Linked DNA regions of Caenorhabditis elegans. The protein of the gene in region 1 interacts with the protein of each later gene in a pairwise test. Each region holds a gene or a part of one and is shown on either strand. Other genes may lie near its edges. The genes, in order: F42A10.5 and eif-3.D.

The links.
Region 2: the proteins of F42A10.5 (region 1) and eif-3.D interact in a two-hybrid assay, tested with the Caenorhabditis elegans proteins (one large-scale study listed by BioGRID).

The regions. Positions count from the first base shown.
Region 1 is NC_003281.10:6,166,556-6,181,633, reverse strand, and holds F42A10.5 (Protein CDV3 homolog), read left to right. Parts: upstream 1-8,833; 5' UTR 8,834-8,862; coding exon 8,863-9,086; intron 9,087-9,136; coding exon 9,137-9,599; intron 9,600-9,700; coding exon 9,701-9,832; 3' UTR 9,833-10,412; downstream 10,413-15,078. Other genes in the region: Zinc metalloproteinase nas-28, read left to right, coding at 1-74, 123-346, 397-556; F42A10.7 (MD-2-related lipid-recognition domain-containing protein), read left to right, coding at 2,957-3,309, 3,409-3,619; F42A10.6 (MD-2-related lipid-recognition domain-containing protein), read left to right, coding at 4,773-4,923, 4,971-5,136, 5,182-5,296, 5,342-5,440; abcf-3 (ABC transporter domain-containing protein), read right to left, coding at 5,582-5,822, 5,923-6,414, 6,464-7,050, 7,190-8,008; efk-1 (Eukaryotic elongation factor 2 kinase), read left to right, coding at 13,104-13,163, 13,250-14,326, 14,380-15,078; F42A10.9 (Gamma-glutamylcyclotransferase family protein), read right to left, coding at 10,509-10,551, 10,842-10,981, 12,945-13,043.
Region 2 is NC_003281.10:8,958,397-8,973,739, reverse strand, and holds eif-3.D (Eukaryotic translation initiation factor 3 subunit D), read left to right. Parts: upstream 1-2,161; 5' UTR 2,162-2,163; coding exon 2,164-2,345; intron 2,346-2,391; coding exon 2,392-3,351; intron 3,352-3,398; coding exon 3,399-3,827; intron 3,828-3,869; coding exon 3,870-4,011; 3' UTR 4,012-4,105; downstream 4,106-15,343. Other genes in the region: R08D7.4 (Complex1_LYR_dom domain-containing protein), read right to left, coding at 70-233, 289-423, 579-680, 752-1,052, 1,106-1,519; Putative RNA polymerase II subunit B1 CTD phosphatase rpap-2, read right to left, coding at 4,113-4,260, 4,312-4,461, 4,506-4,703, 4,754-5,130, 5,174-5,286, 5,334-5,604, 5,654-5,764; bud-13 (BUD13 homolog), read left to right, coding at 6,025-6,128, 6,184-6,512, 6,563-6,637, 6,693-7,467, 7,517-7,610; grl-25 (GRound-Like (grd related)), read right to left, coding at 8,171-8,356, 8,411-9,571, 10,324-10,496, 10,542-10,634, 10,685-11,302, 11,352-11,445; ZK643.6 (uncharacterized protein), read left to right, coding at 13,047-13,205, 15,076-15,201, 15,247-15,339.

The DNA.
Region 1 (15,078 bases):
GCTATTTCACAGGAGCTAGCTGCGATAGCTTACCATCTGGTACTGCTCCAAATTGTAATGGAGCCGTGCTTCAGGTAGATTGAAACAACTTTTTGAGAACTAACAGAACATAATGCTTTCAGGCTACATCCTCTTGGGAAACCTTCGACGCAAAAGCCGGAGACCCATCCAGCTTCTCTTCTTCCACAGACAATTCGACCAATTGTTACTGGCATATCAAAGCTCCAGAAGGACAACAAATTGAATTCAAAATGACAAAAACTCCATTGGCAGCAATATGTATGCAAGAATGTCCATGGCAATCGATTGAAGTTAATCTTGGAAAGTTTGACTTATTTGGAATGATGTGAGTTTAGGGTATACTATTGAATTTTCAGTTCGAAAATTATTTTCCAGAACCTGCTGTGACACAATCCTAAACCAAGTGTTCACCTCTGAGCTTAATATGATTGCTCTTCGTGGAATAATTCGCTACAATCAGTTGACGTTTAGCATTCAATATCGAGCAGTGCCAAGTTCGAAGCCTGCTTCAACCAATGCTTGCTTGAACCAGTGAATTTTTTGGGATTGGGAATACTAATTTATTAATTTATTGACTTTTATATCTTAATCAAGGGTCTCATGTTTACTTTGATCTTTCCACTTGAAATGAATTTTTGTGTTATCTAAATCCAAAATGTGCTAAAAAAGTCAACTTCAAAATATGATGTTGTGTGTAGTGTGTTTGTGAAGTTACCACCAATACAAATCTATTTACATTCAACTTTAGGTGAAAGTTTTGAAAGCTTAAAAACAAATTTGAAGTTGTTGAAAACCTAATGAAAACCTAAACAGTAATTCTGATACAAGTTTTTAAACCACCTAGCTCAGAAATGACAATGGCTAACTTGTAGTCTATGTTTATCACAATCCAATAAACAAATATCATCCTATTTTCTGAACCGGATATCGCCGAAATCTATTGCGCATTTACTCTTGTTTGCTCTCAATCTTTTGATGTCTGCTCTGCTCGAAAAACGTTTATCTATCACTTTTTTATTATCACACACTAAAAATTGTAATGTCATCGAAAGTAGTTTCGTTCTAGGTCATTCAAATAATCCGAAAATTGCAGTATAGGTCACATGGAGGAAACGTGTACTTTATACTGTTGTTGCTACTACTTCTGCTAGCGGTGCTCCTGAATTTTACTACCCTTATCAGAACCGGTTTGTAAGGGGAAAAGAACAAAGAAGAAAAAGTTATCAGTCAATAGAACATAGTTTGTAAAACATAGGGTCTATTATGTTTCAGAGAGGAAACACCCATCAACTAGTCTATGATCGACTAAAGTTTTTGGTTTAATTAGTTATGCGAAGAATGCCAAAATTGGGAAAAAAGTTTCTTATAAAGTTCCCAGGTTATCAAAGTAAATGGTGAAATGGTACTGCCAAAATGTTCTTATAGGAAACATCTACAAATCCATTCGAACTTTTGTAGAGTTTCAAATGGAAATTACCATTATAGAACAAATCAATATGAGAGTAACCCGTCAATTACAGATCGAGTAAATTACAAATATTATAGGCTTATTTATAGCTTTACGCAATTGTCTTCGTATGTTTTCCTCAGATTTTTAATGTATTTCAACAACGCTTCGTGCAACAAAAAAAAAATAAAATCTACCCATTATAACTATATAGTCTCGTATTCTACATAGAGGGTACTTTGGGTTATCAGAGAAATTTTAAAATATTTTTAATTGAAAGAACATGATTGATTAAATAAATTTCCATACATACATTTATTTGCAACTTAAACAATATAAATTTCGCTCTGGAAAGATTTAAAACCTCAAACCTATAGGATGTGTACGTTCTTCCTGCTTCTCCTTTAACTGATTGTAAAGTTATCATCATTTTACCGACCAACTTAATTAAACGAAAAGATTTTTCCAATAAGACGTAAATTGGTTTCAACGAAATAATTAAAAAGTTGTGTACGTACATTCTCTCAAAATAGGTTTAATGCCGCATAACAGGAACTGTGCAAATTGTCAAAAATGCAACTCAATAAACAAATATTCTAACAGGAAATGATCGACTAAATATATATTTTATGTGAAACTCATATTTCAATCAGTGATCAAGTTTCAAATGATAACGGAACCGATTCATGTTTTACTTGACAGGTTTGCAAGAATTGCGGAAATTAAACTTTTTAATCCTCCCAAATCTTCTACGAAATTCGTTATCATTTTTTCTAAACCGGACAACTTTTCAAACCACATTCTTGCTACCACTTCAGTGTCCAAAAAATAAAAATCGAGTTCGGTTCGCCCTCTGCCCCAAAATTGTCATTTTCAGCACGTGTTTGCAACAAGTTTTCCATCGACGTCAATTGATTATAGAGTATATTTGGAGAGCAAAGGAAGTGGAGTAATTAGAGAAAGCACAGGGGAGTTTCAGAAAAAAAAAGAGAAAAGTTTTTGATAACGTCGCGGACATACCGAAGAGCAAGCATAATAGAGAAAATGGGTTGATGTCTGATAAGGAAAGAGCCCCGGGATGTTTGAAGGGGGTGGAGATTAATTGAAACGTATAAATGAGGAGCTTGGGAAGGAGTGGAAGGTCATATTTCTGATTTTCTGTTAGACTATAGTAGGGAAAAAACTCCGCTTTTGGTTATTTAAGGCCACGAACGGTTTTATAATTTCACCATTTATTCGTTTCAGTAGAAAAATACAGTTTAGCCGAACTCACGCTGTAGGCAGATCGTCATGATGTACACCAAGATTCATTTTAACTTGGGCTCGAGTCTAAACAGAAGTCCGAGCCTGATCCTACGCTTCTTAATAACCAGTTCCCCAAAGTTATTCTACTTGCATTCTACTCCCTTATCATCACTACTTATCACCATTTCACCATTCAAAACTGTCATTTTTTTCAATGAATTCTTGAACTTTCAGCCTCTCACAATGCTTCTCAGGTGTGTCATTCTCTCAGTTCTTTGCATCGCTGCCACTTCTTTTGTTCTCCCAGTTGTCGACAACTTGGCAGACTGTGCTGCACCAAATGGAACCGACAAAGTGATGCACTGGTGGCAGTGCTCATCTGGACCAGTTCAATTTTTGAATGCTACTCCATACGACTCTACCGGAAAACAATACGAGTACCCAATTCATTTGAGTCAGCCAATTGTTGTCAAGACTCAAATCAATAACCCAACGAGCACATATGTGTCGCCAAATCTTCGTAACACCGTCAATATCTGGAAGTATGGAGGATGGAACGGATGCACATGGAGCTCAATCCCAACTCTCGGTCTTTTGTAAGTTTATATCTTTAAGTTAATTCTAATGGATTAGAATGGGTGAACTGTTTAGGCTATTCTCGACTTCTAAATAATAAATAACGATTCATCTTCCAGGAAGGACCTTGACGCCTGCGCAAACGGAGTCCCATGCCCAGTCCGTCCAGGAAACCAAGAACTTGACGTCATCATTGACTTCACCAAGTTCGACCAAATCATCGCCTTACTCAAGGACAATCAGCCATATCAACTCGAGTACATCCTTCACGACAACCAATCCGGAGACACCTCATGCATGATGGTCCAGGCTTGGGCCTTCCTTAAGTAAAATGCTTTCCCATTTGGCGATTGGCTTTAAGATTTCTAATTATATTTGCACTATAACACGGGCGTATATTTTAACAACAATAAAATGTACATAATCTTGACTTTTTGTTGGTTTTTGTTCATTATCAATTTGAAGGAAAAATTTCCGAAATCGAACTAAAGTTGCGATAACATTTTGATAAAAAAGAACTATTCGCACTGGAAAATGTTGCATATTTGCCATTTTGGCAATGAACCAAAAATCAAACAAGTAAACAAGGAATCAGAAATTATTAATAATTTCCCGATTCAGTTATAGTTTGAAAACTGAGAAATTTCAATAAGTACCTAAAGTTGGAAGTATGAAGAATACGTGCTTGCACAGGTTTTTTAAAACTTTGTCTTTCCTTCAATTCATCGGATTTAATGATCAAAATAGAAGAAGAATATAAAAATCGCATAGACGTCAAAAATGAAAATTTTCTTCATATCTTATGAGTACAACGAGTTACTTTACCACGCGTCAATTTCTTAGGCCTCCATTGTATCATAATTTTATTTTAAAAAGCTTGGAATCAGTTATTCATTGTATTAGAAAAACATGGTGCAGTAGCGGCCTTCATATTGACACGTGTTACAGTAACCCGCTTTCCGCGTGGCGAGACCCATTTGCGTAAATTATGACGGAAACTCTCATCTTCTGACGTCTACGTAATATTAAGACGCTGATAAAGCTAAAGTTGCTGAACAAAGTAATGAAAAATAAAAATGTATGGTACCCAAGTTTTAAAGGCGCATAGCACGAGTGAGCAAAATTTTCAATCGTGGCGAGACTTCGAAAGGTGCATTTCTCAGGAATACTCAATATACATATGAAATTTTTTCAATGAAAATGAGTACTTCCTGTGGATATTTCCGGTTCTCTGTGACCTCTTTTTTATTCTAGAATCACAATTACATGCAAAAAACTATTAAAACGCGTGGTTTCTTCAAATTGCCATGTGCTTTGATATTTCTCTTATCGTAGTTTTTCCTATCGAATTTGATGATCATTTTGCAATTTAGTTTTCCATTTTCTCAAATTTCCCAGTTAACCAATTACAGATTCACTATTTTATTCCAACTTAGATCACATCCACTAGCTTTCGAAACGAAAAATTCTACTTCAATTCCAGATGCTTGCTCGTTGTCTGTGTCTCTTCGCCCTACTTGCTCTCTCGTCGGCATGCGATCAATGGCCGAATACTACAGAGACAAAGGTCAACTGGTGGCAATGCTCAAATGGACCAGTTATGGTGACCAATGTTAATCCAACTGATAAGAGTGGTTCGCAAGTTTTCTGATAGTTTCTACGAATGTATAATTGAATCCAGGTAACAGTGAATATCCAATCCGTCTTACTGAACCACTTCTCATTGCAACATCCATCAATGATCCATCCTCAACTTATACTACTCCTGGACTTAAACAAACTATCAAGGTCTGGTCATGGAATATGGCTACTTGTGGATGGTCTTCAGTACCAACTTTTGGACTTTTGTAAGATTTTTGCTTCTTACAGTAACCTACAGTAACCTTTTCCAGGAACAACATCGATGCTTGTACCAACGGAGTACCATGCCCAATTGAACCGAAAAACAAGGTCATCAATTTGGAACTCGACTTCTCTGATACTCCAGCTATCATCAATCTTCTCAAGGTTATTTTGATGTGTATTCTTCGAAAGTTAAACCCCCAATTTCAGAACGATAAGCCTTACCAACTCGAGTATCTTCTTCATGATGACCCGAGCAAGGAAGACCTTTGCATTATTTTCCAGGCTAGAGCTCTCACTCATACTTAAATTTTGAAGTGAACAATTTAATAAAGCAATAAACTTTTTTCTCAACAAAAATTATAAATTGAATTCTTAAATAGTGTAACAAAACGTGGAAACTGGGTGAAATATGGGAAACAACCGAATGCGAAACAAAACAGGAAAAATTTAGGCAGTGAGTTGAAGCTGCTTGTAGACTTGCTTTCTGTATTCTTCGAGTCCTCCCTCCAAAGTTGTCACCATTCGATCCTTCACAACCCAAAGTTCCTTGCACACAAGCTCGATGAGTTGCTCGTCGTGAGAAACTAAAACGACACCTCCATTGAAAACATTAAGCGCTTTTCCAAGAGCTTCAACCGTTTCGACATCCAAGTGATTAGTAGGCTCGTCAAGAATCAAGTAGTTTGGCCTGAAAAATACTATGAATTAGACGGAGTTTGAATAAATTTTTTTTTCTAGGAAAAAATGAATATTTTTTGAAAATGTTGCTATTTTCAAGCAAAACTCACTGCATCAAGGCTAAATTAGCAAATGCCAATCGAGACTTTTGACCTCCAGAAAGTGTCTCAACAGATTGCAAAGCCATATCACCAGCTAATCCAAATCTTCCCAAAGCTGCTCGATAATCTTCTTGAGTCTTTCCAGGATGATTCTTCATCAACACCTCAATAGCTGATGTTTCCATATCCAATTGATCAACGTGATGCTGTGTGAAGTAGGCAATTCGAATACGACGATTCACATTTCGAAGTCCAACGGATGGTTGGAGATCATCGAGCAAAAGTTTCAACAGTGTAGTTTTACCGGCTCCGTTTTCTCCGACAATACAAATCCGGGAGTTGGCATGAGTTCCGAGATTGAGCTTTCGGAAAAGATAGGGAGAATCTTCGTTATAACGGAAGGATACTTCATCGAGTTGGAGAACTGGATTACTGAGAACTTCGCATTCTGGGAATTTGAAGTGAATGTCTGATTCGAGTTCGACAGGAAGAAGAACAGGCCTGAAAATCATAATAAAATTTTTAGTGACAATATTTTATAAAAACTCACAATTTTTCCAACATCTTGATTCTGGATTGAACCATTGGAGCTCTTTTAGCGTTGTATCTGAATTTGTCAATAAACTCTTGAGTATGCTGTCTCAATTGCTGTTGTGATTCGTATTCTCTCTGCTGTTGCGTCAACTTTTCCTTCATCGTCTTCTCAAATTGATCGTAATTACCCTTGTAGTGATCCAATCGTCTGGTGTGCAAATGAACAATGTCCGTGCAAATTTCGTTGAGGAATTTACGGTCGTGAGAAACCGTCAAAATAGTTCCTTCCCAACCTTGCAAATGTCCTTCCAACCAGTAAACCGCTCTCATGTCCAACATGTTAGTCGGTTCGTCAAGCAACAAGAGATCTGGCTTCACGAATAGAGCTCTGGCAAGGGCAACTCTCATACGCCATCCTCCAGAGAACTCCTTTGTTGGACGCTTCTGCTCGTCTGGAGTGAAACCGAGACCATAAAGAAGGGAAGAAGCCCGTGCTGGAGCTTTGTCAAGTTGGAGAGCTTCCATTTCGATGTAAAGTTTTGAAAGCTCGTCATTCCATTTGGTTTTCTCGGCGTCATTGATATTGTCCTTGTTTATACGACTCTGAAATTTTAATTTTGAAAAATGAATTAATTTTTGTTCAAATTAAAAATATATATTTCAAGAATGGAATGAATTCAAATCAGACTTTTTTGTCATATTATTCTCATTGAATATTAATATCATTTTCTGAATATCTCACTTGCAGCGTCTTTTCCCTATCAAGAAGTGTTTGTCTCTTCGTATCTGACATCAAAACAGCATCCAAAACGAGTGTATCATCTCCTTCCACTTCCTGTTCCACAGACAGCATTGAAATACCTGCGGGGATCTTCAACTGTTGGCTTGAAATCATTTTAAGCAGCGTCGTTTTTCCGATTCCGTTTCTTCCAACCAATCCATATCGTCTTCCAAATGCCATTGTGACATCGGCACATGAGAGAAGTTGTTTCGTACCGATAGAAATATCCACACTTTCCAGTTTGATATCCTTTGAGTTGGCTCCACGGGCACCCGAGTCACGAATTGGAGCTTGGGAAGCCGTTGCTGATGGCTCATTCTTCTTCTTCTTCCGTTCAACAGGTGCATCTGCACGAGCTTCTGCTTTCGCTGCAGCACGATCTTCGGCCTTAGCAAGTTTCTTCTTATCAACGGTAGTTGGAGTATCTCTTGTTTGTACTTTCCAGATGCTTTGAAGAGCTTCAAAGTTTTGATTTTCAGCAGCCATGTCAACAGTTTGCTCGAGACGTTTCGTAGTTGCTTCCTGTTGTTTGATAGCCTTTGGAAGGTTGTCTCCGTGAAGTAGTTTCAGAAGTTGTTGACAAGCATTCTTAGCTCCAACCTCGCAAAGATTTTCCACGGAAGCTTGAAGATGTTCACCAACGGCATCCATAACTTCATCTAAAGATGTGATCTCATCGGAATTCTCTTTGAGAATTGCAGAGACATAGTCTTTGATCTCAATTGGAAGTGTGGGAAAAGTGGCCGTGAGATAGCCAGGAATTGCTTCAACATTTGCCATTATTTAATTGTTCAAGAAGAACTCGTAACCTGGAAAAAATTCATAACACACTCGTAAATAAGTTGCGTTTCTCGTATCATACCCAGCCAATTGAAAAAGTGAAAGACGATGAAAACCGGAATGAGACTTGGAATCAGAAGAAGATAATACGTTTGATCGGAGATGAAAGAAGCTGTTAGCTCGTCCACCAAGTGAGATTCCTCTAGCATACACTACGAGTCCTAAAAAAGTAAGGTTTTATTTATTGGGTGGTGGAAACTGTATCATTATCCAAATGACTAAAATATTAATTTAATAAATACATGTAAACTGCTATAAACTCGACCAAAAGCAATTTATTCATCCGAAAATACTGTAAATGTGAGAGAAAACTGAATAAAACGAGATATGCGTCAACAAAATCGCCATACACGCCAGTAATCGTCCTGGCGCGTTTGCAGTCTCTAACTTTTTTTTGTTGCGAAACTGAATTTTTAGCTGGATTTCTCTTCAACTTACACGTTTTGTTCATTTTTTGTTAGTTATATTTAGAAGCTCCAAAAGCCTAAACTATTCCAATTAGCAAATTCATTATTGTCAAGACAGCCTTCTGCCAAATAACTGCAATGAATCTCTGATACGCGCGTGACGTGTTGCGTCGCGTTTTCTTCTCATTTTCAGTAAATTCCAGCTAGTTTGCCACTTCCTATCATTTGTTCTTTGTGCACAGTAACTTTACATGTCATATTCGTTATTTGAACTTCACTATATTAGAAAACTGTGCTATTGTCGTTTCATTTTAGGCCGTTCAAAATAATTTTACTCTCTAAATGTTCCACGTTTCAGTTCCGACTCGCTTTTCACAACAACACAAAATGAGTGACGATTTGAGCGCTTTCTTTGCTAAAAAGAAAGACAAGAAAAAGAAGTCCGCCGTTAAAATCGAAGAAGTCGGTCAAGCACTCGAACGAAGAGCCAAGCGTCAAGAGGAGTATGAGCAAGAGTCGGAGGATGTTTCTGAAAAGCGGGTAGAAGAGGAGAAGGCCGTGAATCCTAACGAAGAAAGTGAATGGATTGAATACGGAGAAAGTCAAGGAAGGTTAGTAGATTATTCGCTCCGATTTCATTTAAATATCTCATTTATTGCAGACTAGATGGTCTGAAAATCAAAGATATGGGTCTTGAAAGTGAACAAGATCAAGTAAATAACGAAGAACCAGAAGATCGCGAGGTTCATGAGACAAAGACTTGGGGACAAGTTAGCAGTGAAAAGAAAGCGACGGAGGAGCCGGAACAAGCTGTGACGATCAGTGACAAAGCAATGGCTGCCGCTTACAAGCCACCTGCAATGAGAAGACCAGGAGCTCCGTACAGACCAAGAGCTGCTGCTGCAAATCTGGATATGGGTAGTGACGCTGCCTTCCCATCATTAGCGGATGCAAGCAAAATTGAGAAGAATAAGAAAGAGGAGAGCAAATCACCAGGAGGTTGGGTAAAAGCTGGATCCGGTGGAGCTTGGCCAGGAAGTTCGGGCCCATCTTCAAGTGGGTCTTCAAGATCGTATCCGACAACTGCTGGAAGTGGACGTGATAGTGCTCTTGCAGCTCTCAAGGTATGTGTCAAGGAAAAATAATTACTCTAAGTTTTCAAGGTTTTAAAACTATCAAAAATCATTTTTATTATTCTTGAAAATGTCTAAATTCAACGTTTCAGATGATGAGCGCCGCCAATCCAGCTCCAGCGCGTAACGAGCCAGCACCAGCCCCTGCAGCTGCTGCTCCAGCATCTTCGGGAGCTGCCAAGGCTGGATCGTACGTTCCTCCACATTTGAGGAAAAATCAATAATAGGCCCAACTATTTTCTTATTCTTCTGTTTTCTGTGTTCCCATTTCCTTATTCATTGTTTTTCTTTATTCTATAATATCCTTTTTTTGGTTAGTATTCTCATAATTTAGTACATTATTAATTTCGTCCCTATCAACTTGTTATGTCCCAAATTTCTCTTATCATTTCGTGCTTAAACGCACTTCACTCTTTATTGTTGCTCTACCAATTCTTGAACGACCCACAATACCCCGTGAAATTTATAGGGTAGTTGACAGCGGACGGTGTGGTTTGAGAATTCACGTGAATCGAATTTTGGTATCTTTTTTCGAAATCTTATGCATTTCGAAGGTCGTCTCCTATTTTCGGTGTCACGCCAAAAATCTCAAATCCGCCTGTTTCGCGTGTCGTCGGTTACGGTTTCAACGAAAGAAAGTTTCAAAATGTTTTCCCCATGAGCACTTTGCTCTTTTTCTACTTGTGCTATTTATACAAGTGCTCTATCATATTCTCTTTGCCCAATTCCCTTTCGGATTCAATCATGGTGTCTTTTTCTTTCGTTTCCCTTTTTTCTTTTTCATATAAACGTTTATACATTCCCAATGTGCTCGTCTTTGTTATCTTGCATGTGTGTTTTCAATCCCAGATTATTATTCATTTATTCAAATTATAACGATGAGGAACTGTTACTCGGTGATCACATTGCTTCGTACATTTCATTCTCGTTGGTTAGGTTCTCGCTGCAAAAAAAATTAAATGTAGGTTCATTGAATAGTTATTTGTAAATTTCCCCACTTTTCAAATCGAACTCGGCTTTTCTCTGAGCCAACTCGATGTAGATCAGGTTCTCAGCGCCCAAAATATCATGATAGAGGTTCGAACTGCCGTCGAGATCGTCAAGCATCTCTTTTGCGCGCACGTATCTGAAAATTCCAGTCGTGCGCGTAATTTTTCAATAAATCACTGGAATTTGTTTTTCAAAGAAATATTTAATTTAACTCTAGTTTTAAAAGGCACATTTTTCTCTTACCTGTCCACATAAGGTCTACCATGAGCTCCGAGGCTTGAGTAGTTGGTCATCATTTCGGATGACGTGGAAAGTAGATCTGGGCGCCAGCTTTTCAGCAGATAGATAAACGCAGTCTCAGTAGTGCCAGACGGAAGTTTGATCTGAAATTTTCATGTTTTTGAATGAGAAATTCCCCATTTTCAGATATGTTTTGTAAGTTGGTATTGTTATGATTCAACAATGAAAAATAAAACAAACGGTCGAAGACGTTTACATTTTTTTTTGAAAATTTCGTGTCTACTTTCTACAGTAACCCGCGCTGTCTGAATGAGCTCATTCATATTATCTATTCCATAAATATCCTAAATCAATAATTATAGGTTCCTTCATATACACTTTATTTTAACTTCCTCTATATTTTTCAGCCAAAAAAAACACCAAGTGGTCCCAACCATTCATCCATCCAAGTCAAATGTGCACACCCATCTCTTTTCGGTTTACACTCTGTCTGTTTCTCTAAATCTCTCATTCTTCATCATTGTCTCTCCTTCTTCTCCTTTCTCCATTCTTCTGGGTGCCTCTAGGCCTTTCTCGATTTTCCATTTCTTCACGTAGTTTTCTCCCAGTTTTTCCGTCGGTCTTTTTTCAACTTCAGAGAGTCTACTGATTCCTGTTTCTATTTTAAAGTGCTAGTGATAAATGTCTGAGAGATATTGGTCACATTTGACCTATTACATTCGGCTCGGTCAGATTGAAGTTTCAAGGAAATCAGAATATTTCATTTTTATATTCCAAGAATCTACTCAACCAGATGATTTATTATGTTCATTAAAAATAATAGGATTGGTTTCTCATTGATATATTATTCACCATCTGCCCTTTTTATCAAATCACAAAAAATCATTTTTATCTTTAATGTCTAACTGTAAGTACAAAAACGTGCAAAACTGAAAAACTTAAAATTGAAAGTAATTTTCGATTTTTTGTTCTTTTGATTTTTTAATCTTTGATCTTGAAAATTTTCCTCGACGTTTCTCGAATGTTCCTTCAAAAAATATTACCCATTATAATTTATGAGCTTTTTTCTTTCTCTATTTATTCCTATCGGGCCCGATATCGGGGAGGATTTTAGATTTTTTAAAAAATAATTTTATAGAACTTTTGAAGATACCTCTAAATGCCTACAATACTTACAAAATATGAAATAGTTTTTGTTTCTTTTCAAAATGCATAATCTCATTTATAAAAATGATTTATAAAACACAATTTACGGACTTTAATCCAAAATCGTATGTTTTCCATTGAAAAAGATAATATCTTCCGAATCTGGTTCTCGATCCTCGTAATTCTCTATTTACCCAACTCTTCTCTACACACAAATCACTGGATTATAGACTAAAAACCTAAAAATGCTCGAAATAGAAAACTTCTGCAGTTTGAATCTTAAAATTGTTCTAAAAGTGAATACGAATTTCATAAATCTCAATTATCAATTATCAGAAACAAATATTCAGAAAATAATTGGAAAACCTTTAATAATTTTCAATTATTACTTCTAATGGTCGTTTCAGAATGTTATTTTTAAAAATCGATTTCTTTTCACTGAGATCAAATTTACTTTTGGATCCATTTTTTACGAATGCATAATAAACATATTGTTATTACATCCAAAAATTTCCATAAAAAGCTCTCAGCTGACCAGCACGTGACGCATCTCGATGGAACAGAAATCAAACTGTTTATATGTTTGTTTGCTTCTCTTTTCTCTATCATCTGCTTTCAAGTATTCTTTCATTCGACACGTTCTCCCCCCGTTGTCGCTTTAATTCATGCTCGTTTTTTGTTGGGTGTGATTAGATGAGTAGTGTCTGGGCCTGACATAGAAAACAAGACCTTTGACTTGCCTTGAGTTCTGATACGATACCTGGTCTCAACGCGACCAAAAAATTTCAGCGCAAACAAGAGAGTGCGCCTTTAAAAAGTACGGTAGTTCTCCACGTCCAGTTTTTCCCAATTTCATAGATTTTACACTTTAAATCTTTTTCGCAACTAGGTAATATCGTTTTTTAAGAATAAAAACATCTACAGTAGGAAATCAAACAGAACCTTTTTTATCTGACTTACCTCAACTTTCTTTCTATCGTACAATGTTGGGTAGGCTTCCAACTCATCGAGCACCTTCAATTTCTTCTCGCAAACTTCATACATTTCTCCTTCAATGTTCTGAAAAAATTTGGATTAATTATTTACAAAATAGTTGTTTCAGTAGTCAAACTGGGCAAAATGACGATCGACACAACAAATGAGAGCGACAATAGTCCAACTAACTCACCAGGATTGGAGGTGGGATTTTTGAAAACAATTCTTTAACAAAATTAAATTTATTTAATTAAAATTCAATTAAACAAACTACAATTTTTACTTTCAAGGCCTCGGCTCGGACATTCTCGCTCAATGCGTCAAAAATGGTTCGGATAACCGACGACTACGCAGATGAAGTGTTCATTGAACAGAATGATGTCGTTATCGAGAAGCCTCGTATGGATCCTCTCCACGTTAGAAAACTTATGGAGACATGGCGCAAGGCTGCTCGCCGAGCAAGAACAAACTATATAGATCCATGGGATGAGTTCAACATCCACGAGTATCCAGTACAACGAGCTAAACGATATAGGTATTCTGCAATCAGAAAGCAATGGACAGAGGATATAGTCGATGTGAGACTTCATCCGGACAGTTTTGCACGTGGAGCCATGCGAGAATGCTACCGACTCAAAAAGTGCTCCAAGCACGGAACAAGTCAAGATTGGAGCAGCAACTATGTCGCAAAAAGATACATTTGTCAAGTCGATCGTAGAGTTCTTTTCGATGATGTCAGACTTCAGATGGATGCCAAATTATGGGCTGAAGAATATAATCGGTATAATCCACCGAAGAAAATTGATATTGTTCAAATGTGTGTCATTGAGATGATTGATGTAAAAGGTTCTCCACTCTATCATTTGGAGCATTTCATCGAGGGAAAATATATAAAATACAATTCAAACTCAGGATTTGTATCAAATGCAGCTCGTCTTACACCACAAGCATTTTCTCACTTCACCTTCGAACGTTCTGGTCATCAAATGATGGTTGTCGATATTCAAGGAGTTGGTGATCTTTACACAGATCCTCAGATTCATACAGTTGTGGGAACTGATTATGGAGATGGAAACCTCGGAACTCGTGGAATGGCTCTTTTCTTCCATTCACACAGATGTAACGATATTTGTGAGACAATGGATCTATCAAATTTCGAACTTTCGCCACCTGAAATCGAGGCTACCGAAGTTGCGATGGAAGTAGCTGCAAAGCAGAAAAAGTCATGCATAGTTCCTCCAACTGTGTTCGAAGCAAGAAGAAATCGAATTTCAAGTGAATGTGTACATGTCGAGCATGGTATTTCGATGGATCAATTGAGAAAAAGGAAGACGTTGAATCAATCGTCAACCGATTTGTCAGCAAAGGTGAAAGAAACATTTAAAAAAGTTCTAACGTATTCTATTTTTATATTTTTCAGAGTCACAACGAAGACTGTGTATGTCCTGAGTGTATTCCAGTTGTTGAGCAACTCTGTGAGCCTTGCTCCGAAGATGAAGAGGACGAAGAAGAAGACTATCCAAGAAGTGAAAAAAGTGGAAATAGTCAGAAAAGTCGACGTAGTAGAATGAGCATTTCAACGAGATCTTCTGGCGATGAATCAGCATCTCGTCCTAGAAAATGCGGATTTGTAGATTTAAACTCACTTCGTCAGAGACATGATAGCTTCAGAAGTTCTGTTGGGACATATTCTATGAATAGTTCTAGACAAACCAGAGACACTGAAAAGGATGAATTCTGGAAGGTTCTTCGAAAACAATCAGTTCCAGCAAACATTCTATCACTTCAACTTCAACAAATGGCTGCTAACCTGGAAAATGATGAAGACGTACCACAAGTCACCGGGCATCAGTTCTCTGTCCTCGGTCAGATTCATATTGATCTCTCACGATATCATGAGCTCGGGCGGTTCGTAGAAGTTGATTCAGAACATAAGGAAATGCTTGAGGGAAGTGAAAATGACGCTCGTGTACCAATCAAATACGACAAGCAGTCTGCAATTTTCCATTTGGATATCGCTCGGAAGTGTGGAATCCTTGAGGCTGTGCTAACATCGGCTCATATTGTTCTCGGATTACCACATGAATTGTTGAAAGAAGTCACCGTTGATGATCTGTTT
Region 2 (15,343 bases), 2.8 Mb from region 1:
AAAATAATAGATAAATGCAATACGTCGCAGTAACGATGTGAAATAAAAAATTTTAATGAAGCTTTAATACTAAAAAACTAATTTATTTTTAGGCTGGATATTATAAAAAATTGTAGGTGTTTTGAGAGTTGAGAAAAATGGGAAAATAGATGCATAATGATACGAATTTTCTCCAATTGTGTAGGCACCGTTTTCGTATTCGAATTTTTCCACAATTTCTAGTTTTGCCATTTCTGTAAAAAATATAGTGAATAGAAAAATATTGTGTACGAAAGAAAAATAACTAACTCAAATGATGCTCGAAACACTCAATACTCGACTCGTTACGACGAGTGCACGCAACGATAGCAGCTTTTGAGTGGCGGAGCAGAAGATTGAGCACATTGCAGAGAGAGGCGAGCAATGCAGTGTCGTAGACAACATCTGAAAAAGGAGACGTGAAAGAGAAGAGAGACACAGAGAAATGAGAAGACTTGGATAATGAGTGCCTGAAGCTGTTATTTGAAGGGTTTCGTTTCACACGAATATCATATAGAAAAACAAAGAATTTAACAAATAAAAGTATTAGCAAAACCTACCGGCCGCGATAATCAAATCCGTGGGTTCCTTCCATTCAGAGAAATCAAAATCACACCAATTGAGTGAGCGAACTGTTGCTTGATTGTTGTTGGCTGACGAATCTACAATTTAGATTCTAAATATTTTTAAATTTGAAATACGGAAGGAGTCGATTTTATTTCTCAAAAAATACCTTCAGTATCACTCTTCAGATCGTTTTTCGCAATATTCTCTTCTAAAAGATTCAGCACATTATCATCATAATCAGTGAGCGTCACACAACAATCATTCATTTTTGCAATTGCAATTCCACTAACACCACATCCTGACCCGAGTTCTAATATTCGATTGTACTCGGAGGGAATCAAGCGAAAAAGATTGGCGAGATCACAAGAAGCTTGCCAAACTGATAAGCCAGTTGTACCCATTGATAGTTGATTTACAGCTTCCGAGAATTTCGCTAGAACTTTGTCGCCTCCATCGGTTAGGTAAACCTGAAAATATGAAATTATTTCCATTTGAGCTGACGAATTGTTTAAAAACTTACTCTTTCCACATATTCTCCTTCTTTCATTCCCATTAGAGAACCAAGCCTGTCGAACATTGAATCAGGAACAACAACATTATTGGCTTGAAGTTCAGAAATCAAGTTTTTAAGAACATTTATTTGAAATTTGTAACGAATTTCATGCGATGTGACAATTTCATTATTGAAGACATTGTTGCAAAGATTCTCAGCATATTCCGAATCTTTTATGCATTGTTCTACAATATCCTTCATTAGCTGATCCGGAATTTTTGAAGCGCTACAATAAAATCTTTTGAACTGGAGTTCAGTTGTCTCCTTTTCTGAGTGGACCATCCCGCTCAGTTCTCCGTTTTCTTGACATTTTGTGAAAATTTTGCGTTTTCGTTCTGACTGAATAAGCGGTATCAGGAGGAAGGTATTCGGGTCTTGCATGTGGAATTCCGTAGTGTTCTGCTTGAACGATTCGCTGCTCCGCTTGATAGATTAGTTTGCCAATCACTATTGGGTCTTTTTCCTGAAAAATCCCATATAATTAGTTTCCACATCAATATTGAGAACGAGAATACCTGCTGGTGCTCTCGGAAAGCCTGACGAGCTTCAGTGATAATTTGTTGTCTCTCAACTACAGTATTTGTTTCTTCTTTTGCTTTCCAATTCTTGCCCAATTTTAAAATCTGTCGATAGAGCTGAATGACTCGAATACTTTGTGGCACTGTATTCATCAAGGTGGACCCGTTTCTGGAATTATATTCTGATTATGCGAGGAAATTTGGAGAAAACAAATAAAAACCAAAAATTGAGGTGGCGTCAAGTGGCGAATGTTGGCGCGTTTCGTGTACCTTGCGCATTTCTCGATTAAACATTTTTATTTTTACACGCGTTCTTGTCGGATTTTTCACATTTTTATACGATTTTCTGATTAATTTTTCTGTTTTGTGAATTATATAAATTCATGAAAGTCTTGTAACTATATTTTAAATGCTCTCGAATGTTATTGTTCCATTTCCATTTCTTTTGTCGTTGCTATCGTTTGGCCTAAAATTGCATTTCAACACTATTTTATATTTATTTCAGGTATGGCTCTACCAAAGTTTGAACTGTTGTCATTGGCTGATAATACAGTCGGATGGGGTCCATTGGCGTCGAGTTCCTCTGCTGATGAGCCTGTTCCATTCCAACAATTCAACAAGGCTGATCGCATCGGACGTGTTGCCGACTGGATTGGTGTTGATAGATTCTATAGAAGAGGAAATGAGAGGTTTTTATACAACAAATGAGTGGTATCGTTAAAACTTGAAATTTAGATACAATGAGCGTGTCTATGGATCCGCCGCCAACGCTGGAAGTCAGTTCGATTACATTCATGGAATGGATGAGCATAACTTCCAACTTGTTGACACTTCTAAACCAATGGCTCGCAATCCACAGCGCAACTTCCGTGTCCGCCAAATGCATCTTCGTAAGATGATGCAGAAAGAAAATGAGAAGCGTGAGATGGTGAACCAGTCAACGAATTTGAGAATGAAGAGAAGTATCGCCAAGGAGCAACAACGTGCCTTCAAGATGTGGCAACGTCGTGGAGGAAATGCTCGTCAAGGACAACGCGGACAAGGTGGTCGATTCGGAGGTGATCGGCCGAAGGAACGTCTTCCATCTGTTCAAGTTAGACCGGAATGGGTTGTTCTTGAAGAAATGAATCTTAGTGCGTTTTCCAAACTTGCTCTTCCTAACATCCCAGGAGGAGACGACATTGGGGATCACCAGTATGGAAGTCTTCAATACTATGACAAGACTATTGATCGCGTTTCTGTGAAAAATTCTATTCCGCTTCAAAGATGCGCTGGCGTGTTCTACAATGTCACCACAACGGAAGATCCTGTAATTCAAGAACTTGCTCAAGGTGGTGCTGGAAATGTTTTCGGAACAGACATAATTCTTGCTACTTTGATGACTGCTCCTCGTTCGGTCTACTCGTGGGACATTGTTGCCTACAGAGTCGGAGACAAACTTTTCTTCGATAAGAGAAACACTAGAGATATTTTGAATCCAGTTGAGACCCTTACTGTTTCCGAGACTAGTGCCGAACCACCATCATTCGACGGAAATGGTATCAACAATGCCAAGGATCTTGCGACCGAGGCATTCTACATTAACCAAAACTTCCGTCGTCAAGTCGTCAAGAGAAACGACGCAGGATTCACCTTCAAGAATGCTCGTGCTCCATTCGAAGACGAGGAGACTGGAGAGTCAGGAACTGCTTACAAGTAGGATTTTCGTTTAAAATTTTGATCTTTAATTAAACAATTTTTAGATACCGTAAGTGGAATCTTGGAAACGGAGTTGATGGAAAACCAGTTGAGTTGGTTTGCCGTACAGAATTGGATGGAGTTATTCACGGACTCGGAAATGAGACTCAGACTCTTACAATCAAGGCATTCAACGAATGGGATAGCACACAATCTGGAGGTGTCGACTGGAGAACAAAGCTTGATGTTCAAAAGGGAGCCGTAATGGCCACCGAAATCAAGAACAACTCAGCTAAGGTTGCAAAGTGGACTCTGCAAGCACTTCTTGCCGGTTCCGACACAATGAAGCTCGGATATGTGTCTCGTAACAATGCACGCAGCACACAAAATCATTCTATTCTACTCACCCAATACGTAAAGCCAACGGAGTTTGCTAGCAACATCGCCTTGAACATGGATAACTGCTGGGGAATTCTTAGATGCGTCATTGACAGGTAAGAACGAGCACATCCAGACTGGTAATCAATTTTTTCCAGTTGTATGAAGCAAAAACCAGGAAAGTACTTGTTGATGAAGGATCCACAATCTCCGGTTATCCGCCTTTATTCGCTTCCAGAAGGAACTTTCGAAAGCGAGCGCGAGAGCTCCGACGAGGAGAACTCGGATGACGATCAATAAAGTCCCCGGTTTCTGACAATTTCTTGTATTCGCTTTTCTAATTATTGTCTCTTGTTAATTAAACTTGGTTCTGATAAGATAAACTTTATTCAAAATATCATTCAACATTGGGATTTAATCGCAGCGTGCAAACCGGTAATTTGGAAAGAATCAAGCCCGCATAGTTCATTGGAAATCGCAGTAAGTTCTGGAGAAGCGTTGTCCTTCTTGAAGTAGTCGTCTCCAAGCTCAACATCGACGAGGCAAATCCTAAATTTCAACATTTTGAAATTTTTTAATTATGCATTTTTTAGAACTTACACAATGAAAAGAGCAATAACGATAGAATTAATTTCTCTCTTTGTCCAGCCAGTGATATTTTCCGAATCGAGTTGGAATGTCGAAGCTACTCGACTGAGAATATCACGACGAGTTGGAGTTAAATGTAAACGTGCTTCCAAATCCATCCAGCTGTAATTTCAAAATTAATATTTAAAATTGCTAGATAAACTCACTGATTCCTAATAGAATGCAGGAAAATATTCAATCTCTTCTCTTTCACATTGTACTTATCAAGATTCGGCAAATTGACCAATTTCTCCGCGTCCACCTTTTTACCGGACAAAAAATCCATCAAAATTTGCTCAGCAGCTCCACCGGTTGGTCTGGCACCTTCTCGAACCAATTTACGAGTTTCAGGTGTGAACCAGGATCTTAAATGAGATAATTATTTGTAAAATTTATATTTTGAGAGTTTTCTAACTTAATTAAATCAACGAGCCACGCTTCTTTTGCTTTTTCCATAGTTTTCAATTTTGAATGGATCTCTTGAGCCTCAATCAGAATTGGTGGCTTCTTTTGCAGAGCATTTTTATTTCCATACTTTGCACGCAGCTTTGCGAGAACTTCGTCTTCTTTTTTACGATCTTTTGCTGATAGTACAGGTTTCGGGGCTGTTTTCAAAAGTTTCGAAGTCGATGGAGGACCAAAATTCGAATTTCTAAATTCCTTGATAGATTTGATAAAATCTTTGTCATCATCAGTTAATTTAAATGGTTCGATATCTTGATCTTCTGGATCTAGAGATTTTGGTTCTTCGGCTTCTTCGCTTAGTTTCATGTCTTGAACTTTCGCAATGATCTGAAACACTTAAATATATTAGTGAGCATTTCTCTTCACTTACCGAATCGGTCACCAGCCAAATAGAAGGTTCTTTTTTGAATTGCGAATCCACGGGTTCACTTTTTTCAGCAATCGGGCTTACAAATGATTCATCAGGAACTTCGTATACTTTCTCTGAATAATGAATACGGTTAATAGTATTATTTGATACAATAACTTACGAGTTCTCGCCTCCGTTAAACCGGTAATCCAGAGCGGATGCTCATCTAATTGCTTTCTTACGAAAGAACTTTTCTGATAGCACATCTCCGAACAAAATTTAGCTCTTTGCTTGCGAAACTCGAAAATTTTTCCTTCTTTTCTGTCGATTTCGAACATTTGATTTCTAGTGATTTTTGGTGGAGCTTTTTGACAAGAAGGAAAACCGCACTGCTTATTCACATATCGCTCTTCGACAACTTCGTCCCATCCGAGACAGTGGAGATGTGGAAGCTGAAAAACAAAACTTTAATAAATCTTATCATCATTTAAATAATCTTACATGTTCTTGTAATTGATCAGTATTTTCGATGTCAATGAGAGTTTCGATCGTAGTGTAAACTCTTCTGCGGAAGGAAGTCTCCTTTTCATTCACCGGAATTTCAGTCTCCATTCTAGGAACCTTAAAGAAAATATATTTCCTAGAAAAGCTTTGAAAACTGGAATTCCTTTGAAAAATACTATGTTTAAAAACATTTTATTTTTCGACAAAATGGACTAGAAATATCATTATGGCCGAGAACTCCAGCCTAGTTCGGCCACGCGGCCACCATTTTCGAATTCGACTTTTTTTCTTTTTAATACTTTAATAATGTTATTATTTAATTTAAACTTGTCTAAATACAGTTATATTTGTTTCAGTAATCGCCAGCTATGACATCGAAAGCGGATTATTTAAAAAAATATCTGTCTCCTGCTTCCGGTGATATCGAAAAGAAGAAAAAGAAGAAGAACAAAGACAAAAACAAGCCAAGCGGGTAAGTTAAATATTATTTGAAGAAAGTTTATATTAAAAAATACATTATATTTCAGGCTGCGACTAATCGAAGAAGATGCATTTCTTTCTGTGGATGCTGCCAAAACAAGAGATATTGGATCCGACGAAGAACGAGAAGAAATTGAAGTTTTGAAGCAGAGCGTTAAGAAAGCAAAAGTAGTTCATGGATTCAAGCAGACATTTGCCGAGGTTGATGCTCCAAAAGTAATAAAACCGGAACCATTATCACCTGATAACTCTCCGCCGCGGGGGAAACGTCAACGTCACGATAGCGACAACTCTCCACCAAGACCTTCTAGAAAGCGAAATGACAGTGACAATTCTCCACCACGACCATCACGAAATCGGCATGACAGCGACAAGGGTAAGTAAACTTTTAAAAACTTTAAAAAATTTGATACCTCGAATTTTCAGATAATTCACCGCCAAGGAGAAGACGACACGATAGTGACAATTCACCCCCACGTCCATCACGGAAAATAAGAGAAGGTTCGTCGAAAACCTATTTTTGCTCAATCATAAATATTTTATTTGCATTTTTCAGAAAGTCCATCTGCTAGAAATCGACGCTCACCACCCAGAACGCGAAGAGATCGGCATGATAGTGACAACTCGCCTCCTCGTAACCGTTCTCGTCGTGATTCGGATAATTCTCCGCCTAGAAGACGACCATCATCTCCTGCTCGTCGACGTAAAGACGATGATCTGAGTCCCCCGAGAAAATCGAGAAAGATCGAAGAACCGAAGAAAATAAAGAAAGAAGAGCCTGACAGTGATACAGAGACATCTGGAAGAACGTTAGAAGGCAAAAGATCCGGATTGCAATCAGCACGAGATTTGAAAGAAGAGAGCGATAAACTGAGAGCTAAAAATTCGAAAATGTTTGAAGAAATGGACACTTCGGTGAGCGGTCGATTCGCTGATACTGTATACAGACAGAAACAAACGAAGAAAAAAGGCAAAGATTCTGAAGAAGATCAGGCGAAAAAAGAACGCGAAACGAAGAAAACAGAAGAATTGAAAGAAAAATATAAATCATGGAATAAAGGAGTTGCTCAGATTGAAGATCGTAGAGCACAACTTGAAGAAATGGCCAGAGTTGCTGCTGAGCCAATGGCTAGAGCTCGAGATGACGATGCAATGAATGCCCATCTAAAAGAAGTGCTGCATGCGGCTGATCCGATGGCAAACATGATTCAGAAAAAGCGCCGAGACACAGCAATTGATCGTGGAGAACTGGTATATCCTTCATATCACGGACATTTTGTACCAAATCGATTTGGAATCGCCCCCGGATATCGATGGGACGGAGTGGACAGGTAAACCCTCAGAATTTGAGACATGAAAAATACAAATTTTAAATTTCAGATCAAATGGATTCGAAGGAAAACTTGCAAAAACGGAGAACACCAAAACAGCAAATCAATCCGAATACTACAAATCGATTGCCGAATACGAGTAATAATGATAAATTTTCCAGTGTTTCAAAATTATTTTCTTTTCTGCCTTTATTTATTATCAGTAAATTATTTTGCAAAAAAAAAAGGTTTTTATGAGCATCTAAGTAGTTTCATATGAACTCATTGTAAAGTTGTCCTTTTTCCGCATGAAGTGAGTAGAAACTTAGCGTACCGTAAATGGGGATTTTGCATAAAAATCCAAACTATTCTCTAATTCAGAAACACTAAAAGAAAAACGAAAAATATTGACATTTGAACCCATTTGAATTCTCTCCGAAATGAGAACTGCGACCAATCAGCGATTCGCTCCGCCTACGTTTCCAACCTATCAGATTCTTTTGTTGTTTTTGTGAATTTGAAAATTTTATTTTTGAAGAAAAATCCCAATGTACAGTACTCAAATTTCAAAGAATAATCCATCAAATTAATCAGAAAACGATTTATTAATAATAATTTATTGAAAAAAATTGTGTTCCTGTCAAATGTATCGAGTGCGAGAAGTTATAACCAATGTATATTAAATTAGAATAAATAGTCATGTGACAAGTTGTACAGCTCATGTTTAGGCTTTTCTTAGGACATAGCAAGCGAATTTTCCGCTCTTGATGAAACAGTGCTCACGATTCTCTCCAGCAAGTGGTAAGAGACCTTGCTCTCCACAGGCAACATAGAATTCTCCACTCACAAGACGAGATTTGACACGTTGAGCCAAACGTTGCATTGAGGATTCTGGATCCTCAGTGAGACTCTGAAATTGTTTTTCAGTTTAGAATGTTTAAACATTCATTTGAGTTCTACTAACCTGTCTAATAAGTTTCCTGAGTCTAACTGAGTTACAGATTGGAGTATCATCAGCAGTTCCTCCCTTTGAGAATCTTCTGTTTCTGAATCCAGCAGCTCCTCCTTCATATTCTTCTACATCTTCTTGTGCTTCGTCATAATTGGCTCCATTTGGTGCTCCACCGGCTCCTCCACTTCCACTGTATCCTCCTCCAGATGGTGCTGGTGCGGCGGCGGCCGACTCTCCACCTGCTCCTGAGTAGGTTTGAGCTGGTTCCGGAGCTGGTGGTGGGGCAGCTGGAGCGGTTTCACCACCTCCAGAGTAGTTGCTGCCTCCAGCAGCTGATCCAGCGTCACCTCCTCCTCCAGAATAGCCTCCAGAAGACGGAGCTGGCTCTGGAGCGGCAGGTGCTGAGGATTCAGATCCTGAGTATCCCCCAGATGGGGCTGCTGGTGCGGCTTCTGGAGCTGCCTCTGATCCGGAATATCCCCCAGATGGAGCTGCTGGAGCTGCTTCTGGTGCTGCTTCAGATCCAGAGTATCCACCGGATGGGGCCGCTGGAGCGGCTTCCGGTGCAGCTTCAGAACCTGAATATCCACCTGATGGTGCTGCTGGAGCAGCTTCTGGTGCTGCTTCGGATCCTGAATATCCACCTGATGGGGCTGCTGGAGCAGCTTCTGGTGCAGCCTCAGATCCTGAATATCCACCTGATGGTGCTGCTGGAGCAGCTTCTGGTGCTGCTTCGGATCCTCCTGAGTATCCCCCAGATGAAGCAGGTGCTGCTTCTGGAGCTGGTGCTGGCTCTGACGATCCACCAGAGTATCCTCCGGATGATGCTTCTCCTCCGCTTGATGAAGATCCGGAATATCCTCCTGCAGAAGAGGACTCTCCTCCAGATGATGCTCCAGCATCGCCTCCTCCGGATGAATATCCACCAGACGAGGATGATGAGCTCGACGATGAATCACTCCCTCCCGAATATCCTCCAGATGAAGATGATGATGATGAGCTGTCACCTCCCGATGAGTATCCTCCGCCTGATGACGAAGACGAGTCTCCTCCGCTAGAATAAGAAGATCCACCGCTCGATGAGGATTCACCACCTCCTGAATATCCACCTCCGGATGACGATGATGCTTCTCCTCCGCCGGAATAAGACGATCCTCCTCCTCCTCCGCTGCTCTGAACAATGAATACGTTATAGTGTTGTGAAATGGGCGCGCACCTAACATCTCTAGCTATCAGTCAACTATAAAAGGTTATGAGATCTATTGTTTAAAGCTAACTTTCAGCCACAGTTACAAAAACTTTGCATTATTACAAAACCCATAGTTAAAAACTATCTATTCTTATCGAAAATCAGAAATGATTCCACCTATAAGAATGTCAGTTCCATTGCATATTCTAACTACTATTCACAACTAGATTAATAGTTAGTCAAACTTTAAAAGTATTAGTATTCTACCATTAAACGTCAAGTTGATCTACATACCACGTATTCTTCCAAATCCATTTAGTTGAGAGTCAGTCTGCTTGTCATTTTAACACATTGAGCCTGTGAACCTTTAACTGAATAATGTAATCTTCGTTGATATGTTTGTGTTCATGCATTGCGTTAGAAAACGACGTACACATTCGGAAACATTTATATACAGGACACATGGGTTTTGTTTTGGCCGACAGACAAGACGTTGGCAACAAAACATAAAATTTGAGAAGAGATGATGGAATCTCGGCTCTGACAGGAAAGATGGTGGGAAAAGAGACAATACTAGACACTTCTTGTTGAGAATTGACTGCTACAGTCACTCTCATTTCTCACAACAATATCATAACGGGGGGCATCATTGGGAATTGTGATGGTACTTAAATTATGCCTTGTTGAAGAAGCGCGAGAATCTGAAGCGTGACGGGTAAGAAGAACCACCACTTGCTTGTTCAGAGTATCCTCCTCCGCTCGACACTGGAGCTGGAGCTGGTGGTGGTGGTGGTGGAGGTGGCGGTGGTGGAGCAGCAGCTGGGGCTGAATATCCTCCTCCACCACTGCTTCCGGCATATCCTCCGCTGCTTCCGCCGCCTCCTCCGCCTCCTCCGGCATATCCTCCTCCTGAAATAATTAACGTTTGATTATTATCAAAGAATGCGTTTATACCTCCGCCAGTTGAGTATCCTCCGCCGGAGCTTCCTCCAGATGAATATCCTCCTCCAGAGCTTCCACCGGTAGCGTATCCACCGCTGCCTCCTCCTGGAAACATTTCAGTGCTGATTTGATATTATTCGTAACTAAGTTCTTACCTCCGCTAGTTGCGTATCCACCGCCTCCGGATGGAGCCGAGGCATATCCTCCTCCACCGCTGGATCCTCCACCTCCGCATCCTCCTCCTCCTGATGGAGCAACAGCATATCCACCTCCTCCGCTTGATCCTCCTCCTCCGCATCCTCCTCCACCTGATGGTGCAACAGCATATCCACCTCCTCCGCTGGATCCTCCTCCACAGCCTCCACCGCCTCCTCCTCCGCATCCTCCGCCACCTCCTCCTCCGCATCCTCCGCTAGATCCTCCACCGCATCCTCCGCTGGATCCTCCACCACATCCTCCGCCGCCTCCTCCTCCGCATCCTCCACCTCCTCCTCCGCATCCTCCACCTCCTCCACCGCATCCTCCGCCACCTCCTCCGCATCCTCCGCCTCCTCCACCGCATCCTCCGCCGCCTCCGCAGCCACCACCTCCACCTCCGCATCCACCTCCTCCACCTCCACATCCACCTCCACACGGAGCAGGTGGTGGAGCACATCCTCCGCCACCTCCGCAGCCACCACCTCCACCTCCACATCCACCTCCACACGGAGCAGGTGGTGGAGCACATCCTCCGCCACCACCGCAGCCACCACCGCAGCCGCCACCGCAGCCGCCTGAAAATATGCGTAAATTATTTTTAAGAAAAGGGATTTTCAAATCTACCTCCACCTCCTCCTCCTCCGGCGCTAGGGAAGAGGAATGACGAAACGTGGATCGTCAATAGGAAGAGAACTACCAACCGAAGGTAGGTAGCCATTCTGAAATCTTTATCTAAAAACCAACATTTGGGGAACAATTCAGGTTTTTTCAGAATTCTCAGATCTTTGGTAACTAGATAATCGATGGTAAATATAAAAAAGTGACCGAAAAAGTAGGATGCTTTAAAAAGATGCGACTGAAAGAATGATGCTTATTAGGAGAACAAGTCGATCTTATATACTTATCGCAATTACTAGTGCAGAAGAACAAGTAGTGTGTCTTGGAGAATTTGGGACGCCGCCCACTGCTTGCGCGAAACGTCTGGTTTTGGCAAAAACATATACACACAGACATATACTGTTATCACAGAATGACACCGGTTCTCACTTACCAGTTACGACATCTTTATTCGGATTTCAGATGGTTCTTCTACTATCATCACATCAATTGAAAGCGTTTATCTGAGTAGGGAGGGAGATAGTCGAGACGTAACAAAACACCTTGTGTGATCGTTGTTTCAGATTTATTAGGGGTGGATTGGTAAAATTAAGAATATTTTTTAAGTGGTTGGTACATCAGTAAAATATAGGAATAATGCATTTATGGGCATTTTACATAAACTTATTTCGGCACTTACATCGGAATCCATTTTTGAAATAAATTTAATTTGCATTCACTTGTCAAAGATTGCCCATTGAAAGTGCATTTTTAAGTCTAAAAATCCTAAAACTACACATTTTATTTTTCATAAACTAAAACATTTCATTTTTAAATGCGTTCCAATAATACACAAAAACCCTCATTTCTATTTGCTAACCCATTTCAAAAACGAGAAAGGCCACAAAAGTGGACAAAAACTTCTAAGTAGATCAAACTTGAGGAATACATATCGCGTTGTCAATACTTTACATTTATACAATAGATAGCATAATTTCAGAAACTATCCAAAATAATAATTCAGTAGAAAAACCTTGTGCCATTTGCACACTATTTGGAAATTGTTAGAGATGTAATATTCTAATATTTAAAGTTTGCTTTCTACAAGAATTTTTATAGATAAATGTTCTAATTATTCGCTATTTGAACAATGTAGTAATTGAGCTTGAAAATTTTAGGCAATTTGGCACTTTCGGTAGTTTCCGATTTCCACAATTTTCGATTTTTCCAATTACCAAAAATTCGGATTGCCGAACGGCAAGTACCACTCACTCTTGGTTAGACCTATTAATTGAATCTAATCTTAGTTTTCCCCTAAACTCGTTCATTTCAAATCCTAGAACTTTGCGCCCTCGACCATTTTCATTGGATGACGCAACTTTCGCTGCCTCCCTAATCCCATATCTCTGCCTACCAATCGGTATCTAACCAGTTATTCACTCTTCAATCCATTGCACTGATTCTAATTCTTATTCTTAACGGATTACTTGAGAAGATGAATACGCGTATCTTTCTTATCACCCACTATGAAGAAATTGTTTTGTTGTGACACAAAAAACAGTCTTTTATTGCCAATGAAATACAAAGAAATTTACTGAAAACAATGGGGAAAAACATTTTGTTTTTGTGCTCTTCAACCTAATATTTGAGCACCTGTCCTAAAGAATTGAGGTCTATAAATTGATAGGATCAATTGAAGTTTTCAACAGAACAATTCTTAAAATGCGTGGAATCTTCTTCCTCATTCTGATATTAAACTTTATTGGTCTGATATTCAGTGTAGCTGAAGATTGTGCACTCTCAAAACGAGAAGATAGATGTGGCAGTATTTTTGAGGATCTTACCAATTGCTATAATTCGACGTTCAAAATGATGCTAGGAGTACGGTACCATTGAATAAAATTAATAATACGGGGTAGAACAGCGCGGAAACTTTTTCATTTGAAATTCCATATTCTCCATAAATCTCAGTTTAAAAAGTTTTGAAAACCAGTGCACATTTGAAAATCCATATTCTCCATAAATCTCAGTTTAAAAAGTTTTGAAAACCAGTGCACATTTGAAAATCCATATTCTCCATAAATCTCAGTTTAAAAAGTTTTGAAAACCAGTGCACATTTGAAAATCCATATTCTCCATAAATCTCAGTTTAAAAAGTTTTGAAAACCAGTGCACATTTGAAATTCCATATTCTCCATAAATCTCAGTTTAAAAAGTTTTGAAAACCAGTGCACATTTGAAATTCCATATTCTCCATAAATCTCAGTTTTAAAAGTTTTGAAAACCAGTGCACATTTGAAATTCCATATTCTCCATAAATCTCAGTTTTAAAAGTTTTGAAAACCAGTGCACATTTGAAATTCCATATTCTCCATAAATCTCAGTTTTAAAAGTTTTGAAAACCAGTGCACATTTGAAATTCCATATTCTCCATAAATCTCAGTTTAAAAAGTTTTGAAAACCAGTACACATTTGAAATTCCATATTCTCCATAAATCTCAGTTTTAAAAGTTTTGAAAACCAGTGCACATTTGAAATTCCATATTCTCCATAAATCTCAGTTTTAAAAGTTTTGAAAACCAGTGCACATTTGAAATTCCATATTCTCCATAAATCTCAGTTTTAAAAGTTTTGAAAACCAGTGCACATTTGAAATTCCATATTCTCCATAAATCTCAGTTTAAAAAGTTTTGAAAACCAGTACACATTTGAAATTCCATATTCTCCATAAATCTCAGTTTAAAAAGTTTTGAAAACCAGTGCACATTTGAAAATCCATATTCTCCATAAATCTCAGTTTAAAAAGTTTTGAAAACCAGTGCACATTTGAAATTCCATATTCTCCATAAATCTCAGTTTAAAAAGTTTTGAAAACCAGTGCACATTTGAAATTCCATATTCTCCATAAATCTCAGTTTAAAAAGTTTTGAAAACCAGTGCACATTTGAAATTCCATATTCTCCATAAATCTCAGTTTTAAAAGTTTTGAAAACCAGTGCACATTTGAAATTCCATATTCTCCATAAATCTCAGTTTTAAAAGTTTTGAAAACCAGTACACATTTGAAATTCCATATTCTCCATAAATCTCAGTTTAAAAAGTTTTGAAAACCAGTGCACATTTGAAATTCCATATTCTCCATAAATCTAAGTTTAAAAAGTTTTGAAAACCATATTCAGTGTAGCTGAGGATTGTGCACTTTTGAAACGAGAAGATAGATGTGGCAGTATTTTTGAGGATCTTACCAATTTCTATAATTCGACGTTCAAAATGATTCTAGGTGTACGGTAGCATTGAATAAAACTAATAACAAGGAATTATTGTTTTTGGCGAACTCTTTGAATTAATACATAGAAATGAATTAATACATTGAATACAGAGAAATGTAGAAAAATGTGTGTTATATCTGAAAATAATGTTTCAAAAGATACTATCATCGTTACACCGGGAAACTTCGGTTTAAAGGCACATGTATACTCTTTCGGTTGGTCTCGCAACGATCTCTTCGGTTCTTTTTTGCGAGTTTTGAAGTTTTGAACTAGGTCATCTTTAGAAACTACAGTAACTCACCCCTTTATATGCTCAATCCCTCTATTCTTCTAAATATTTTCATCAGACCCACTCGGAAAAATGACAGCGCCTTCAAACTGAAATGTCAAAATTTCGCGGAATTATCATAGGACTTAACACATTTATTCTTGTCCGTGGGCGGGAACTGTAACATCACAAAATTTCCTACCTGATTTTTCAGGACTGCCTTGTGACATGCAATGCATGCGAATCCTACACTTGCAACAACCCACAGCCCGATACAACTCTCAACTGCACAGCACTTGCTGGTGAATGTAACTCAGCATTGTTTAGTGAGCTTATGAAGGTAATACTACATTTCTATGTGAACTGACTATATTCAATTTTTCAGGAAAAATGTCCAGCAACGTGTGGAAAGTGTAATCGAAAAAATGCCAATTTATGTTCGGACAAGAGCAAACCTGACATTTGCGTAAACCTAAAGGTAT